Linked DNA regions of Notamacropus eugenii. The protein of the gene in region 1 purifies or fractionates together with the protein of each later gene. This does not show direct contact. Links are inferred from orthologs where the notes say so. Each region holds a gene or a part of one and is shown on either strand. Other genes may lie near its edges. The genes, in order: KBTBD8 and PKN1.

What was found.
Region 2: the proteins of KBTBD8 (region 1) and PKN1 purify together in Homo sapiens (affinity purification with western blotting; 3 studies listed by BioGRID and IntAct, with this or other methods). This does not show direct contact. The link is inferred for Notamacropus eugenii from reciprocal best matches to the Homo sapiens genes KBTBD8 and PKN1.

What each region holds. Positions count from the first base shown.
Region 1 is NC_092874.1:456,874,931-456,883,572, reverse strand, and holds the start of KBTBD8 (kelch repeat and BTB domain-containing protein 8), read left to right. Parts: upstream 1-5,318; 5' UTR 5,319-6,062; coding exon 6,063-6,077; intron 6,078-7,131; coding exon 7,132-7,165; intron 7,166-7,484; coding exon 7,485-7,698; intron 7,699-8,642. UniProt on the Homo sapiens protein: Substrate-specific adapter of a BCR (BTB-CUL3-RBX1) E3 ubiquitin ligase complex that acts as a regulator of neural crest specification.
Region 2 is NC_092875.1:76,499,794-76,508,221, forward strand, and holds the start of PKN1 (serine/threonine-protein kinase N1), read right to left. Parts: upstream 3,642-8,428; 5' UTR 3,575-3,641; coding exon 3,536-3,574; intron 1,904-3,535; coding exon 1,582-1,903; intron 883-1,581; coding exon 746-882; intron 1-745. UniProt on the Homo sapiens protein: PKC-related serine/threonine-protein kinase involved in various processes such as regulation of the intermediate filaments of the actin cytoskeleton, cell migration, tumor cell invasion and transcription regulation.

The DNA.
Region 1 (8,642 bases):
GTATTCTCCTTTCCTTTCATTTTATATAGCTGTGGTCAATTTCATAGCCGCTACAAGTCCTGAACGGGGAAATTGGAAAACTGCAGAATCCATTTGCAGAAGTGAGGTTCTATTTTCTCTTACACCTCTTTCATCAGAGTTGCTATCACTCTTGTGTTGTGTGGCATTATTATCGACAGGAGTCAGGGACTGCTGATAATTGTGAAAAAAAGCTGACGCTTTTTCTAGATGTGGAAACAGAGAATACAAGGGGCCATAGCTTCATCTTTCAAATATGCTTCTTTAATAAGCTATCTGTCCTTCATTCTGGCTAGCTTTTAAATATAAAAGCTGCATCCCACCCTGGTTTTCCACAACTGTGTGATGATCTTCATAGATTTTAACCATTAAGTTTTATAGTAATAAATAAAGTATTAAAACTTTGCCTAATTTGAACATATATACATACATTTCTGTCTGCATTTGTCTGTCTATCTATCTATCTATCTATCTATCTATCTATCTATCTATCTATCTATCTATCTATCTATCTATTTATCCATCCATCCATCCGTCTATCTGTCTTTTACCTGCCCTCTTATTATGTAGGGAAAAAAAACAGTGAAAGGATATCATTGGAGAACAATCAATGGCAAAACAGACAGGCTGGTCAAGAAGTACAACTTGGGGTAATTAATGGTTGTCCAAATACTCCATTGGTATTCAAGGTCAAGAGATCAAGAGGAAAGCTCTAAGTACATTGGACAGATCCCTATTTGTGATATCAGGAGCACATGGCAAGAGCCACAGATTCACAAAACCGTAGCATTTTAGGAATTGAACTAGACGGGTAGGTCCAGAGGTGTCGTGATCTACGTTATTGGAATCTACTTATTGATAGCTTTGTTAGGATGGTTGGATCAAATATGATTCCTCTGTTCGGAATTTAAAGCCATTCACAAACTGGCTTCAGCTGATGTTTTCTGAATTGTTATTCATTACTTCCCTTCATATACCCCATGGATTGGTCACAATAGCCTTTCTACTGTTCCTTCTGTATTGTGTTCTGTCTCTTGTCTCCTTGCCTTTGCATTGATTATCCTTTATGACCAGAATACATTTCTTCCTTCTCTCCACATGCAGACCCCCTAGTTTCCTTAAGAACTCAGCTCTACCATGACCTATCTTTTACACAGGGTCATAAGACCACAGACCTAAAGCTGAAAGAGACCTCAGAATACAATTAATGTACCCCTCTCATTTTACAGATGAGGTTAGGAGAATTTTCCCATGGCCACAGATAAGCATCAGTGGCACCATTTGAACGCAGGTCCTCTCAGAACCTTTGCTATTCTCCCTTCCCCCAGGGCTTAGTGCTGTACCCTCCCCCAAGGGAAAAAAAAATCCCTTTTATTTATATTTCTATATTGAACAGGGACCATCCCATAGATGACATACCAGAACTCCCCTGTCAACTTCCTAAGGCAGCTGTGGTTCAGTGCTGAATTGGAGTTCTTGGAGGTGATGAAACAAGCCCCTTATTGGTCACTGATCAGAAGAACCTCTGATTTAGGGTACCTTAAAAAGAGTGTGGCTCCATCCTCTGTCTCAAGTCATGCTCCTTTGAGCCTCTCATTAGAGTAGTGAATGAGGCGACTGGTGCCCTTTTGCTCTCCCTGTACCACAATGAGTATGAACCCATGTCATTTGGAGTTCATGTCCTGCTCAGGTAAGCTTGAGCCTGGGATTCAGGCTTCCTTGACTGAGAAGTGATTTGGAAATTGCAATTTGCGATCTCAGAAGTCTTTTGTGAATTCAAGAGATCTGGATACCCTGTATCCTCAGTTGGAGACTTCCCTTCCAGAGGAGTCCCTATAACTTATTCAGCACTTCTTGGAGGAGATGACCACAAGCCAGACAACATGGATGTGGGAGGATCTATTTAGATCAATGATGTCAAATTCAAATAGAATGGGATCCCTGGGGCTGTATATTGTCTTAGAAAGCCACAAATTCATATTCTCTATGTATTGTATTTTTGTTTATTTTGTTAAACATTTCCCAGTTGCATTTTATTATGGTTTGGGTTGCACTTGAGAGGTTTTACAAGCCCTTGGAGTGAAACCTCTAGTTTAACACCTCTAATTTAGATAATTCAGAGCCAAGGTACAATGTGAAATGCTTGACAATCTTTCCAAATATTTTATATTTGGATGGTTTTAAGTCTCAGATTCCTGAGGAGAATATAACAACAGTTACAAGTTGTTAAGCTAGTCACTATATCAATTATTTTTCTGAATCTGCATCACTCAGTTCATTCAATTCTTCCCAGGTTTCTCTGAATTTCTCCCTTTCATCATTTATGTTGTTGAGCTACTTTTCAGTTACATCTGAGTCTTTGTAACCTTAATTGAGGTTTTCTTGGCAAAAATGCTGCAATTTCCTTCTCTAGGTCATTTGACAGATGAAGAAACTGAGGCAAACAGGGTTAAGTGACTTGTCCAGGATCACACAACTAGTAAGTGTCTGAGGCCACATTTGAACTCAGGAAAGTGTCCTCCTGACTAGGGATCTGGCACCCTATCCACTGCTCCACCTCGTTGCCTCTACCATTTCTTATAGTGCAATAATATTCCATTATATTAATACTGCCTGGTTGATGAAAACTCCTTAGTTTTTCATGTCCTTAGAATAAATAGTGCTATGAATATTTTTGTATATATGGGTCTTTTCCAGTCAAAAGGACTGCACAATTTAGTGATTTTTGTGCTTCCTAGAACAACCGAACCAATTCACTGCTTTACTTGTGGAATGGTGTGCCTGTCTGCCCATACCCCTTCCAACAATTGTAATTTTTCATTTTGGTCATCTTTGCCAAACTGAGATACATGAGGCAGAACCTCTGAGATGTTTTAACGTACATTTCTCTTATTATTAGTGATTTGGAACATTTTTTCATAGGCCTGTGTCTTTTCTCTTGACTGTGCACTTCTGCACCTCCTGCCTTCCCTGACTTTCTTTATGTCTCAGCTCAAATCCCACCTTCTATAAGAAGCCTATCCTGGTCCTCCTTAATACTATTACCTTCCCTCTATTGGTTATCTCTAATATATCCTCTGTATATCTTGTTTGTATACAGTTATTGTATGTTGTCTCTTCCATTAGATGGTAAACTCTTTGAGTTCAGGGACTGTTTTTGCCTTTCTTGTACTCCAGTGCCTAGGCACATAGTGAACACTTAATAAGTACTTCTTGATTCAACTTGCTAATTAAGTCTTTGTTAGTATGCATTTGTGAGTCTCTTATATATTAAGCATTTCTTTTGTGTGGAGGAAATAGCTATCCTATACCTGATTTACACTGTACAGAGTAGCTTTCTATTCCTCTCTATTTTGAGGAGACTTAAAAGTCAAATGTGAACTTTAAGTGATTCCTCCACCCCTCCCCACCCCCCTCCTGGCCCTAGGCTTCAGGGTTGAGGGTAGTAATATAAAGACCCTTCTCTAAAGGATACAGTCTGCTTGGGACTGAACCCATTTCATGTGCATGAATCCAGAGCTAGGGGACTCTTTGTGGAGATTGAGAAGGCATGAAGATCCCCGATTCTTTGAAGATTAAAGAAGACATCAATGCTTGCTGACCATCTGACTAGCTATAAAGGGGTTGTGACCTTCTTTAGCAGAAAAGCTGTTTCATCAATGAAATTACAAATCCTTGATGTATTGGCATATCCATGCCTTTACATACATAAATACATACATATACACCTCTTATAGGATCATAGAACTAGAAGGGACCTGAGACCATGTAGTTATTTTACAGACAAGGAAACTGAGGCTGAGAGCAATTAAATTACCAGCCCAAGGCCACACAGGTAGTCTCATTCAAGTCAACAAGCATTTATCAACAAGCCCTTACTATGTGCTGGTGGCTTATCAGAGGTGGTGTTTGAACCTATACCCTCTGACTTCAGTCACTGATTTCCATGATACCATGTCCCTTCTGAATTTGCTTGGGTTTCCCAATTTTTGAATTTCCTCTGGCTTCCTTCTAAAATGTAAATTTTTTGGGAAAGTACTTTAGTGGTCAGTACTTTATAACTATTTAGTTAATTAAGATGAAACCTGGTTGACTTTTACTGCTTGCCTTTACAGCTCATTGGCTGGAACTGCCTCAAACCAAAGCTGGCTGTCTAGTGCTATTTAGTGTCCACAATGGAACAGGACCTTCTTTGTATCCTTAAAGGTCACAGAGAACAGTTGTTTGTTGGTTAGATTTTATTATCCTCTTATCTATTTTTGATTTAAAAACTATATAATTCTAACAACGAGTAATATATGATCTTTGATCTCATCAGAATTTAGCCCTATTAAGAGTGTCATAGTCATTAGCAAAGCAGTAATATTATGTCCTGTTCTTTTTTATACTTACTTTAGGTTTGCTTTTACAAGCCCTAGTACCTCCCCACCCCCCAACCCGCATCACTAGGGGAACAGAGAACACAGAGTCTTTTCTGAAATTAATTGATGAATATCACCCAAGTCCTTTAGCTAATAAGTAGGAAGTGCAAGACTCACATTTAGTTTTAGACCTGACTCCAAAGAAGTTAAAAATAGAATGAATGAAATTAGACTTTTCCATTCATTTTCCTTAATATAATAATTTTGATTGGGAACCCATGGATACTTGGGAAATAGAGAATGACAGTGTTATGTTCTCTAGGGGAATGAGTACTGGGACCTGGAGGTTTTGGAGACCTGGATGAGTCTGAATTTGACCTCAGACCCTCAGCAGCTGTGTGACCCTGTTAGCCTGTGCTTCCTCATCTTTAAAATTGAGCTGGAGAAGAAAATGGTAAATCACTCCAGTATCTTTTGCCATGAAAACCCCAAATGGGGTCATGAAGAGTCAGATGTGACTTAAAACGACTGAACAACAAAAAAGGACATAATAATACTTGTTCAGAGAGACCTTGTGGCGCAGTGGATAGAGAGCCAGACTCAGAATCATGATGACCTTTGTTCAGATTCAGCTTCTATGGCTATATGACCCTGGGAAAGTCACTCTGCCTCTGGAGGAAGTTAACACCTTAAGCCTTTGAGTTGCATAAATAGGTGTTGCTCTGCATGGATTTTTCTTTGGCAATGAACTGAATGTTAGGTTAAAAAAAATCAACAAAAACTTGTTCCCTACCTCACAGAGCTGTCGGGAGGAGAGCACTATATAAATGTGACTTGTTAAGTTTATGAAAGTCTTAAAAATAGATTTGCTAGGAGCAATAGTTAGATAAATCAGGGCCATGGACCTAGAAAGAGCTAAGTAAATACTCAGTAATGATAAATTGTATTTTATAATGCTGAGTAACAAAGCAAAGAAACATAATACAGATTTAAAGTGTAACACTATCTACATAGAACACATTTTATATATTATGTATCTTTATTCCACTTGCCAAGCACAAAAAGTATCTTACTGCTCGGTACATGGGATAACTGTAACAAGAGTTGACATTTATATACATTTTTAAATGCGCAAAACTCTTGACATGTATCATCTCACTTGAATCTCACAAGCCAGCCTGCGAGGGAGGTACTGTCAGTACGAACTTCACTTTACGGACGAGGGAACTAAGGAACAGAGAGGCTGTGACTTTCCAGTGTTCACAGCGTATCAGAAGCAAAATCGGAATCCAAGTCAAATGTATCTTCTCCGATCGGAGAGCCAGGAGCCTGGGCTCCGCATAAAAGCCTGCCTCAAGCTCCCAACGATTTGTGAAGGAAGGTCAGCTACATGCACGACTGCAGCAGTATCCGTGAAATGCTAAAAGCGCCCTCCAGCACGTTGGGTGTCGTTCCTTGGGAGGCAGTAGGGGAGGGCAAAGGCAGAAGCCGAACAGGCTGGGCAGGGCTGGACCAGTCGCGACTGGCATTCCTCCATAAGAGGACAGATCTAGGGAAATATCGCAGCCATGAATCTAAGAGGAGGGGGCGGCTGGCCTCAGTCCAGGGTCCCTCTCGTTCACAAACTCTCCCCTAGCCCCGGACAGGCTGCCTGGGGAGCCAAGGCAAGCCTCAGGACGGCTAATGAAAGGATCGCAGGTAAACATCCAGGAAGGAAGGGGCTCCTCCCAAGTTCCCGTGGGACATATTTAATTCCTTCATGTTTATTTTTAGGGGCTCTAAACAGGAGGGGGAGGTTTGTCTCCATCTACGGGGCTCAGCTTTGATGGCTCGGAACTTAGGCCGGTGCCAGGCGGTTTCACTTGGTGGCACAGATGGCACGTCGGATCACTCTCTCTGGGGCGGGCGGGGGGAGGGGCAGGTGACCCCGGGCTCCAGTTGGAGGTGTCTCGGGGAGGCTGGGCCCCCTCGCATCGGCGGCCGCGGGTAGGAGGGGCGGTGACTCAGGGAAGGAAGTCCCGTCCGGCTGCCAGGCAGGCCTGGGGCCAGTCCTGCGTCGGACGCCCCCGGGGGAAGTCGCGAGGCCCGACTTCAGCTCGGCCTCGGTTTCCTCTTGGGGAAGGCGGGGTAACCGTGAGCCGACAAGGGGGAAGTCCCCCGAAGCCTCCCCCGCCTTGGGGGCCCCTCCGCGGAAGGGCCGGCCGGAGCGCGGCGCCTTGCCCACGGCGGCTGCGCCCACGTCCTCCCGCGCCGCGGCCCTCAGGGCGCTCCCACTTTGGCCCCACCCCATCCCCAACGCAGACCGCGAGGTCCCGGCCTAGGCCTCAGTTTCCTCGCCCGTCCAGCGGGTGACACCTGCGGTGCCCAGCCCCTGGGAAGCGGGGGGGATCCGAGGGGACCGCGCGGATCCCAATGCGTGGAGCTCTGGTGTGAGCCAGGAGTATGGAGTGCGTCCTAACCCGAGGACGACTCGGCCCACCCCCTGACAGGCCCCATGCCCACGCCGCAGTCCGGCCTCCGCCGGTACTGCCTCCGCCTCCCAGCGACCACGCGGGGTTGAGCTGAACCGGACTACATTTCCCGACACGCACCTCGGCGGCCTGCGACCAATCGGTACCCGAGGCGCTGGGCTCGGGGGCGGGGCCTGGGCTCCGAGGCCTCCCATTGGCTTCGAAGCTCGCTGACGAGCCGGAACCGGGGGGAGCAGGGGAAACGAAATGACATTTTCTCTCTTCTCCTCACTCCGCTCGAGCCGGGGCCCCTCCGAGACATGGCCGCGACGGGAGGTAGGTGCTGCCTCGGGGTGGGGGGAGCGGCCGGGGCGGCGGTTGGGCGGTCCGGGGCGGGCTTGGCGGAGGGCACGGGCCTCCCCTTTTCCCTCCCTCCCTCCCCCGCGACTCCCGTGGGCCCCGACGGCCGCCGAAGCCCGTCCGGTCGCCCGCGGGGGCCCCGCGCGTCCGCGTCGCGTCCTCCCCCCGCCCCGCCCCCCGCCCCCCGCCGCGCGCGTCCGTGGCCCGTCGGGGCCGCGCCCCGGGGCGCGCGTGGGCCCGGCCCAGCCTCGGGCGCGCGCGGAACCCGGGGCTTGTGGCGCTCTCTCTCCCGCAGATGCCAGTAAGTGTCCGCCGCCGAACGGCGCCCCGCCCGCGCCCCCCGTGGCCGGCCCGGGGCCCGTGGACGCCGCCCACGCGTGCAGCATCCTGCAGCAGCTCAAGACCATGTACGACGAGGGCCAGCTGACCGACATCGTCGTGGAGGTGGACCACGGCAAGACCTTCTCGTGCCACCGCAACGTGCTGGCGGCCATCAGCCCCTACTTCAGGTAGCCGCGCCCGCTGCCTCAGTTTACCCCCGGGAGCGCCTGTACGAAGCGCCTGCTGCGTGGCGCGCCGGGTTCTGGGGCGCGGGGGAGAGTGGAGGCCGGCGGGTGTGTGGGGGGAGACGAGGGGACGTGTGTGGGAGCGGGCCGTGGCTGAGGGGGCCCCTCTGGCGTCCGCCGCCCGGCACGGTGGGCGGCCGGAGCTCTCGGAGCGTGACTGTGTGAGACGGGGCTCCCCGGCACACGCGGGCCCCCCTGGCCCCAGACCCGCCCCCTTTCTAAAAAGGGGGAGAAAGGCGATCTTGGAAGAGGCTTCCGAGTCCTCGCTGCTCGTGGGGCTCAGAGGTGCTCACCGCCTGGTCAGTGCCAATACAGATCGGTCCGCAGACTCTCTTTAAAAACTTTTTTGGAGCATTTTCTGAAACTGGCAATAATATTTCAAAGAATTTAGAGTTTTGGTTGAAGGAGATTTTTTTAACTCAGAAGAAACGTCAGACTCTGAGAGAGTTCCTGGTTTTTTATTTAATTTGTTTTAGGGACACACTTTTATGTTGATTTTTTTAAAGAAGTGACCCTCTTACTAATCTAGCCGGAGGGAGAAACCTGTGTCCTTCTAGGTCCTCAGGTGAGGCCTGTTGAAGGAGTCCAAGTTTTACAGAACAAATCCTTTTTTAAGGGGATTTGTTCTGTGAAGTTTGGATTCGAAGGATCATACTTGAGGACATAGAGGACCACGTGTGATCTCAAGGCCGCAGGTTCCCCACCCCTAATTTAGAGGTTCCTATTTTTGTGAGGGGCAAGTTTGTATTTTTCTCTTAAAATGCAATCTTTCTCACTACCCTGTGACAGAATAGCTCAAGATTGGATAGACAGGCATATATACCAGCAACTGGTAAGCTGACTTACCAGCAACTATAAGATGGAATCACAGAACAGGATAGAGTTTG
Region 2 (8,428 bases), on another chromosome or scaffold:
AGAAAAGGGGGAGATCATATTACAATTCAGAGTCGAAGAAGGGGCTTCTAGTGAAGTTTGGAAGGGACTTAAGTCATTTTGCAATTGCAGAAGAAACAGAGGTCCAGAGGACCTCCCTTTAGCATTATTATTGCCCAGGGGGCCTCCAGACCTAACCTAGAGGGCAGTCCAGCAGTGTGGAAAGAGCCTTGGATTTAGACTCCCCTGACTTGATTGGAATCTGTTCTGCCACAATCTCTATTTCTTATGCAAATTATTTCTTTGGGTCTTAGTTTCATCATCTGTAAAATAAGAGTTGAACTAGAATGCTCTGTAAAAGCCCTTTCTGACTCTAAATTCCAGGACCCTGGAGATGAAGGGAGGAAGGATAGGAATAGGGGATGGCCAGTGGGTCAGTGTGACTTGCCATCAATCTTCAACAGAGCTCTACAGACTGCCTCTAACTTAGAATCATGAAATGGTAGAGCTGAAAGGCATGAGATCATCACCTCAAAGATAGGAAACTGAGGCCCAGAAAGGGAAAGGGATTTTTCTGCCCAAGGTTACAGTGAACTGTAGGTACAAGGTTCTATCTCAGGTCCTCTGACTGAGTCTGGGGCTCCTTTCACTCTAGAACAGATGCATTAGCCAAATCTTGGTCAAGCTAAGGTTCTCCTAGCCCTTCCTTCCCTGTCCCCCCAGTCTTTAGCAGAAGAGCTTAGGGAAATGTGCTCCTTCCCAGCCCCAGCCTCCACTGTGAGCTCACCTTGGTGTTGCCATTGCTGTAGGTGTGGATCATGTTTTCTGCCCCTTGCTTGACCTTGAGCTCGATGGTCAGCTGCTTCTCCAAGCCCGCCACCAGACTCAGACTGGTGGCCGAGCAGTTGGGGGATTGAGGACCATCTGGGAAGCACAGAGAGGGGAGAAGTCAGAGTCACTTCTGCCCAGTACCTAGCCAGGAATTCCCTGGGTGGGACTGATTGATCCTGGGATACAGCAGTCCAAGCTTCCCTCTTTCTTCCTGGGGTGCTAGAGATTTCTCTCCCTGAAAAGTAAGTGGCTAAACTGGGAACCCTAATGTCCCACTGCCCAGCAGCTAGGTGCTTTGCTTCTGCTCTGCCTGCCTGAAGTCTGAATATTTCATGGGGAGCTGAGGTAAGGGGAGCTGCTGGTGTGGTTTCCACTTTAAGCCAGAAAGACAAGCTGGGGGCTGGGAAGCTGGAGGTCTGGAATCCTGACCTGTCTATGCCTCCCCCCGCCCCCCCCAAAAAAAAACTACCAGTATTTCCTGGTAGAGACAAGAGTTTAGAGACTAGACCTAGGTTTCTTACCCCTCAGCTCAAAGGACAGCCTTAGGAGATGAGGAGTGGCCGTAGGCCTCTCCCATTTTATAATCATCCAGAGATGTTACATAGGTATCTCTATAGGGCTCCTGGACCAACAAGAGCCTAGTCTTCTTTTCTCCTTGGAGCCCCTGGCATTAAGATTGCCCCAAACCTGGACTCTTCCTCACACCCAGCAGGATTCCCCCCAGGGCCCAGTGTCTCTGCTGTCTCTTAGCTTTTCAGGCCACTTCCCCAGGGACCTTAGCACCTTGCTCACCCTGGGCCTGGCCCAGCTGGGGCTGGGCCTGGCTGGGTTCATGCAGCACCACCAGGCCATGGAGCTCCTGCAGCTGGCTGTGCAGCAGGTCCAGGCGGCGGGTGGAGCCCCTAAGCAGCAGCTCCACTGGCCCCAGGCTCCGGCCAAGGTCTGTGGTTGCCCGCCGCAGGTTTTCTGCCCCCTCTTTCAGCTTCAGTTCCTTTCGGATCTCCCGCCGAAGCCGCTCCACCTCCAGCTCCAGTCGCTGCTGTACCCCTGGGGCTGCCAAGTCTGCTCCTGCCAGGCCTAGCTGCTCCAACACTGACCAGCTCCCGGGCTCGCTCTGTGGAGAGGACAGAGAAAGGCCATAGCTCAGCGTGCTGGGGACTCAGGATCCCAAAGAACCCAAGGGGACAGGAGGAAACACCTAACTGGGGGGGGGGGGGGGGACCATGTTCAGCCTCCTCAGCCTTACATTGATGGCAAGCCCAGCCTCATGGGATCACAAGATTGAGAGCTGGAAGAGACAGCTTGGGGAGCACCCCATCAAATCCCTTCGTCTGAAGAAGCAGAGACAGTGGAAAAGGGCTTAAATCAGATACTTGGATTGTGAATCCCATATCTGCTATTATGTGACCTCCAGCAAGTCATGCCTGTTTTCATCCACCCCCACCCCAACCATCTCCATAAAATGAGGGGGTTGGACCAGATGACTCTTAAGTCCCTTCCATTTCTAAATGCTATGCTTCCTCAGCATTTTAAAGCTCCTGAACCTGGGTTCCCCACCTTCACAGACCTAAAGATTATTAACTAGAAAGGACCTTGACAAACCTTCTTTCATTTTACACAGGGGGAAAGTGAGGCCCATAGCAAGGAAGTGATTTGCCCAAGGTCACATTGTAAGTTACAGATCTAGGGCTTGAACCCAAATCCTTATACTCCCTTCCTACTTTTCTCTGTGCTCCCCCAAATTCCCCTTCTCCTACCCCAGAACAGGCTAGACTCTTTCCTACCTTGGCAGATGCAATTCCTTCCCTTTCTCTCTATCCTCAGAAGTGAAATACCATTGCCTCCAGAAAGCTATGACTGACTACTCCAGCCCTTTACCCTCTGGGGACCTATGACCCTTTTAAGCTGAACCCCATCCCTACAGTGATTCACAGTTTTCAAGAGAGGGAGGCGGAGAATAGGGAGTCTGAGCTCCCCTGCAGACTGGATAAGGCCAAGTCCCTGCCTCCCAGCCAACATAGCCCTACAAAGTCCTGGTCATATATACCATAGGTGCTGGGTACAGACTTCTTGGATGGAGGGGCCCAAGGACCCATCTCTGATTTGATCGTTGACCTCAAATCCTTTTCTACTTGGTGCAAAGGGCTGCCTTCCTCCCCCTCCCCATCCCAATCCCCTGGAACATATTCTTTCCCCAAAGCTCAGAGAAGCATTAAGTCAGAATCAGGCCAATGGTAAAGGCTGTGTGTAACTGGGGTTCCAACAGAAAAGAGGTGTCAGGGTCCTCAGTAATTTTGGCTCAAGTGGCAATGCCAGCAAAGTCCTGGAGGGAATTACTCCAGATGACCCAGAATTCTGGTGGAGAGGTGATTCCAATAAATCCAAATTCCTGCCCAGGAGTATCCCATGGTCACCCAGGATCCTTGTTGTGACCAACCCTCAAGTCTGACACTGACCAAAAAAATTCCTTAATTGTCTGGGGCAGGGAAGGGGAATGGCAGATAGCCAGTTGGTCCGTATCCCACATCCTGTCATCAACTCCTACTGGACTGCCCAGCCAGACCCCTACCTAGTGGCCCCAGAAGGAAGCTATGTCATTGGCCCTGGCCTTCCTGGGTTGATAGCAGCTAGGGAGTGAAGTGGGGGAGGAGACAGACAGCTGAAGAGGGTAGACAGATGGTCCCTATCCCCAGGGCTTGACTGTCCAAGCTCCAAAGTCCCCCCAAACCCTGGCCCTGTCCCCCACCTCTAGCTCCAGGTCCGAGGGGGGCTCAGCTTCCGCCATCCTGGGTCCTAGGGCGGCTCCGCCCTCTCTTCCTGGCAGGGCCCAGAGCTCTGTGTCTGCTACTTCCTCTTTCCTGCCAGTCCCAGGCCTCTCTATGTGGGCCCCCCTGGGGGAGGGGGAAAGGGGACTAGAGAATCAGGGAAACACTGGTGAGGAAGAGCACCCCTCTGCCAGACACAGAGAGGACCAACCTGCTAGATTCCAGCTACAACATCTGGGGTCCCCCAAAAGAAGAATAAGTAAAAGGGTGAGTGAGGGTGGTCCCCCCACTTCCTCCTGCTCTAGGTCAGACTTGGGTCATCAGGCAGGGCTGGGGTAGTGTGTATGATGATGCCTCCTGGTGGGCCTCTTCATCTACTGCATGTCTCCACGTTTGGCCATATGTCCTCATGTCTCTATAAAGGCACAAAGAGGCTGACCTTGGTCCATGGGATTTAGGAATCACATGATTTACAGGCGGACTAAAAATCCTCTAGTCCAATTCCTTTATTTTACAGAAGGGTAAATTGAGGCATAAATTCGTTAAGTGATATCCAAATATACCAAGTAAGAGGAGACAGAATTCAAATGATCTCTTTTTGACTCTAAAACCAATGTTCTTTTTGGCATAATACCACTTTTGAACAGGGCTTGCTCCCCTTTCCCCTGAATCCTGACTCTTCTCTTCCCATTCCCCTACCCCCATACCTAAGACCTGTCCTTCCCCATCTCCCAAAGCAGACTTCCTGTTTCCTCCAAGGCTGCAGCCCACTTCCAGCAGCCCTTGTGATGAGCTGGGTCAGTTACTGGAGGGAACCTGGGACCCAGAGCTAGAAGCCACCTTACAGATCATCAAAACCCAGTATCCTCCATTCTGTCACTGAGAACTTAGTGACTTTTCCAAACACAGCTAGTAAGGGACCCAAGTAGGATTCAAATCAGCCCTTTCTGAATCTAAAACTGGTCTTCTCTCTCTCCCAAGACCACTCCATAATTAGTCTAGCTCTGTGAGTCCTAAGGCTGGAGGTTGGGTTCCTCTGAACTCCACATCTAATGGGGTGACTCTGAGTTCAGGTCACCTTCCAAAGGAGGGCAGAATTGGGGTGGGGGGAGAGAGGAGAAAATGGTTCCCTCCATTGTGATTGGGGTCCCTTCCCTCCTCCACCCAGCATGGAACCCAGGAGCCACACCTCCTAGCCTGCAATGTGACCTTCTTCCTCTCCCAGCTGCCAGTCACCCAATCCCCCAGGGCTGGGGCCAGCTGGGCCAGGCCCCACAAAGGGCCTATTCAGGCCACACACACCCCCAGCCTGAGCAGCACCCCCCACTCTACCCCTCATCCTCATTCCATTGTTCTAAGCCTGCTCCTTAATACCCCAGGCACTGAGGCCCATGCCTTAAATGAGCAACCTCAGTACTATTCCCCAATTCAAGAGCTAGACCTGGGCCTTAGGATCACAGATCTATAGAAGGAAGGGGCCTCAGAGGGAGGAAACTGAGGGCCAGAAAGGTTGTGACTTGCCCGAGATCACATGGATAATAAGTATCACAGGCAGGATTCACAACTCAAAACTATAAAGCTACTGTATCAAGATTCTTCTTCTAGTCTCCCAAATACACAGCCTATCTCTCCAAGCTGTCACTTAGAAAAAGAGCAAATGTTGATGGTAGAGTCTTTGTGAATCCCGGGACTTCTAAGTCCTGCTAATATTGGGACCCAAGAGTCCAGGCTCCTAACCCAGCCAGCTTCATTAGGGAAGAATGAGGGGAGAGAAGACTATCTTTCTTCCTCCCTCACTAACAGGATCATGAGGAGGAAGGAGGAAATAAGCTGGAGAGGACCTTAAAGATTATCGAGTTTACGCCTGATTTTATAGATGAGGAAATGGACTTAGAGGGAGAAGTAACTTGTCCAAGATCATAGTAGTAACAGAGCTAAGACCTGAGCCCAGGCCTCTTGGTTCTAATTTTAGTGCTCTTTTCATTACCCTGCTACTCCAGCGGGAGGCAGAGAGGCCCTTGGAGAGGACAGGGATGGGAAGGGGCATTGAGTTCTCTTAGTCTCCTCCTCTTCTCACAGTGCCTGCCTTCTGTCACTGATCAGACTCCCTCAGTCCTCCTTTCTAGGGCCAGCTGAACTCAGCTGTATAAGCAGCAGGGCTGGAACCTGGTGACCTCAGTCACCCAGGAATGTGGGGCGGGGAGAGGCCACTGGGCCTGCCCCAATCCCTACTCACTCCCTGGCTGGGATGCTCAGCCTTTGGGGCCTTGGGGCCTAGCTCTGCAGCTGCCCTGGGTTCAGTTGGGGTCAGGGGGAAACTTTCCCCTTCCTCTAGGCCAAAATTGTGGCTGGATTCAGGATAGGACTTAGAGCTAGAAAGACCCTTAGAGACCATCTAATCCAACCTCCTCATTTGACAGTGGAGAAAACAGGCCAAGAGAGAAGGGACTAACCCAGGGGTTCTTAACCTGGTGCCCATGAACTATTGGTGTTTTCTAAAAAATATATTTTTATTACTGTATTTCAATATAAGTAGATTTCTCTGTAGTTGTATGCATTTTATTTCATGCAGTTAAAAACATTATTCTCCCTAGGCCTCACCAGCCTGCCAAGACTGACCCAAAAATGGTTAAGAGCTGCTGGACCAACCCAACGCCACCCAGCCAGCAAGTAGCCAAGCTGGGATGGTCAGTTCTATCTCTCGGAATCACCACTTCCTGCAGCAAGGTCCCCAGGTGGCAGCCATCCTCAGCCCCTGAATCCAAGCAGTACTTTCTTCCTCCTACCAGCCTGTACATCAGTCCAGGACCCAGGCATCCCCACCCCCAATGATGTCTGGCACTTTGAATGGTTCTGAAGCTTCCTGAGCAGAAACCGGACATCCTGAACCCGGACATGGTATAGACAAACAGACAGACAAGTGTTAGCATGGAGACAGGCAGACAGAGGGACAGGACAGGCAATATGGGGGTTGGGGAGGCCACTCAGAGCCAGTAGATAGGGAGGGAAGGAAGGAGATGATTGAGCTGGGTGAGTATAGGGCAGCAGGTCACTCAGATATGCTTGTGGTTCTCCTCCTACCCTCAAGGGCCTTGACAGCTAATTAACCCCTTGGCCCTGGGGGGGAGGGGGGGTGTTGGTGTTGGTGGTAGTGAGTCATGGGGAGGAGGGGCTCCTTCCTCTCCCAAAGACCTAAGCATCCTGAATACACAGATCTAGGCCCCACCTTCCCCCATTGTGGACCCAGGAGTCCTGACTCCAGGCTCCCTTCTCTAGCCCACACACTTTCCGAAGTCTGACATGGGGTGAAGCTCCAGGCATCCTTTGTTTTTATCCTAGAATGGGGGTTGGGGGAAGAGAAAACAGGGGAACCCTGCGGCTTTCCCCAGTTGCCCTAGTCCCATCATAAGGGTGGGGATAAAAACAGTTGAAAGAGGAATAGGGGGAGTTGGGAAGCCACCCTCTACCATCTGTTCTGGGACAGAAGGGCTGGGCATAGATTCTCTCCTTTCTTACCCCAAGCCCCACTTCAGCACCACCTGAGAGTAGACTCATAGTCCCTGAGGGCAGCTATGGTATAATGGGAAGAACACAGCATCTATAGTCAGGACACTGAGATTCCTGTCCTACTTTTGTCACTTCCTACTCTGGGCAAATCATTTAGCTAGTCCCTCTCAGCCTCAGTTTCCTCGACCGTAAAATAAGGATATTCCTATACTATTGATAATAGGATTTAGGGCTAATAGGGCTCTTAGAGACCATCTAGTTCAGTCCTTTCATTTTCGGAGGAAGAAACAGGCCCAGAGAGAAGTGTCAGATAGGTGGGAGAGCTGGGATCTGAACCCTCTGATTCCATATCCCAGGCTATTTTCTGTCTCTCAGAGGGAGTAAGTGATAAAGTGTTATACAAATATGAAATACAGTTAAGCCACAAACTCTCAGGTTCAGTTTCCTCCTTTGTAAAATGGAGATAACCATACTTGTGAGGATTACATGAGATAATGTATGTTAAGCACTTTGTAACAATAACATTTATATAAATTTTAACAACTGAGAAAGCACTTTGCAATCCATAAATGTTACATAAATATAAGCTGATATTATTATTATTATCATCAGAAGAGAAGGGGAATTTAGAGACTATCTAATTCAATTGCCTTATTTTATAGATGGGCAAAATTAGGTCAGTGGAGGCTGAGTCATTTACATGAGGTAGCATGGAAAGTTAGGGACAAAATTGGGACTAGAACCGTGCTTCTGACTGCCTCTCTTAGCGATCTGGTGTGGTGTCTAGAATCTTCCTCTTCTTAGTGTCCTTGGGGGTCAGGACTTTGCCTCAGGGTACAGATCTAGATCCAGGCACTAGCCTTTCTACTTTAGAGACTGGCCTGGGGCTGCCTCAGAGTCTCTTCCCAGAGAAAATGCAGGAGGAAAGAGAGGGACTTAACAATGGACCCCAAATCCAATCTGCAAGCATAGTCTCAGAGCTAGAAGGGGCAAGAATCTTCCCAGCTCTTAACTTTTTAAATAAGACTCTATTCAGGATGGGAAACTGAGGCAGAACACAGATGTCACCCTTGTTTACAGATGAGGAAACTATGCTCCCTTTAACTTGGCAATGAGAGGGCCCAAGTTCACACAGCATTGAACCAAATTTGTCAGGGAACTAAGGTTACCCCTTACCCTTTCCAGACAGCTTGCTATGATTGGGGGTGGGGGGTGGGGTCTAGGGTTTGGCAGTATGAGGAGGTATATTTCTGTGTAGGGCAGACCCAGCTCTATTCGTTTGAGGTCCTCCTCAGGACCCAAAAGGACTGATGCTCAGTGATCACAGACAGGACCACTGGACTCCTGGGGAAAGGTGTTCCACGGTG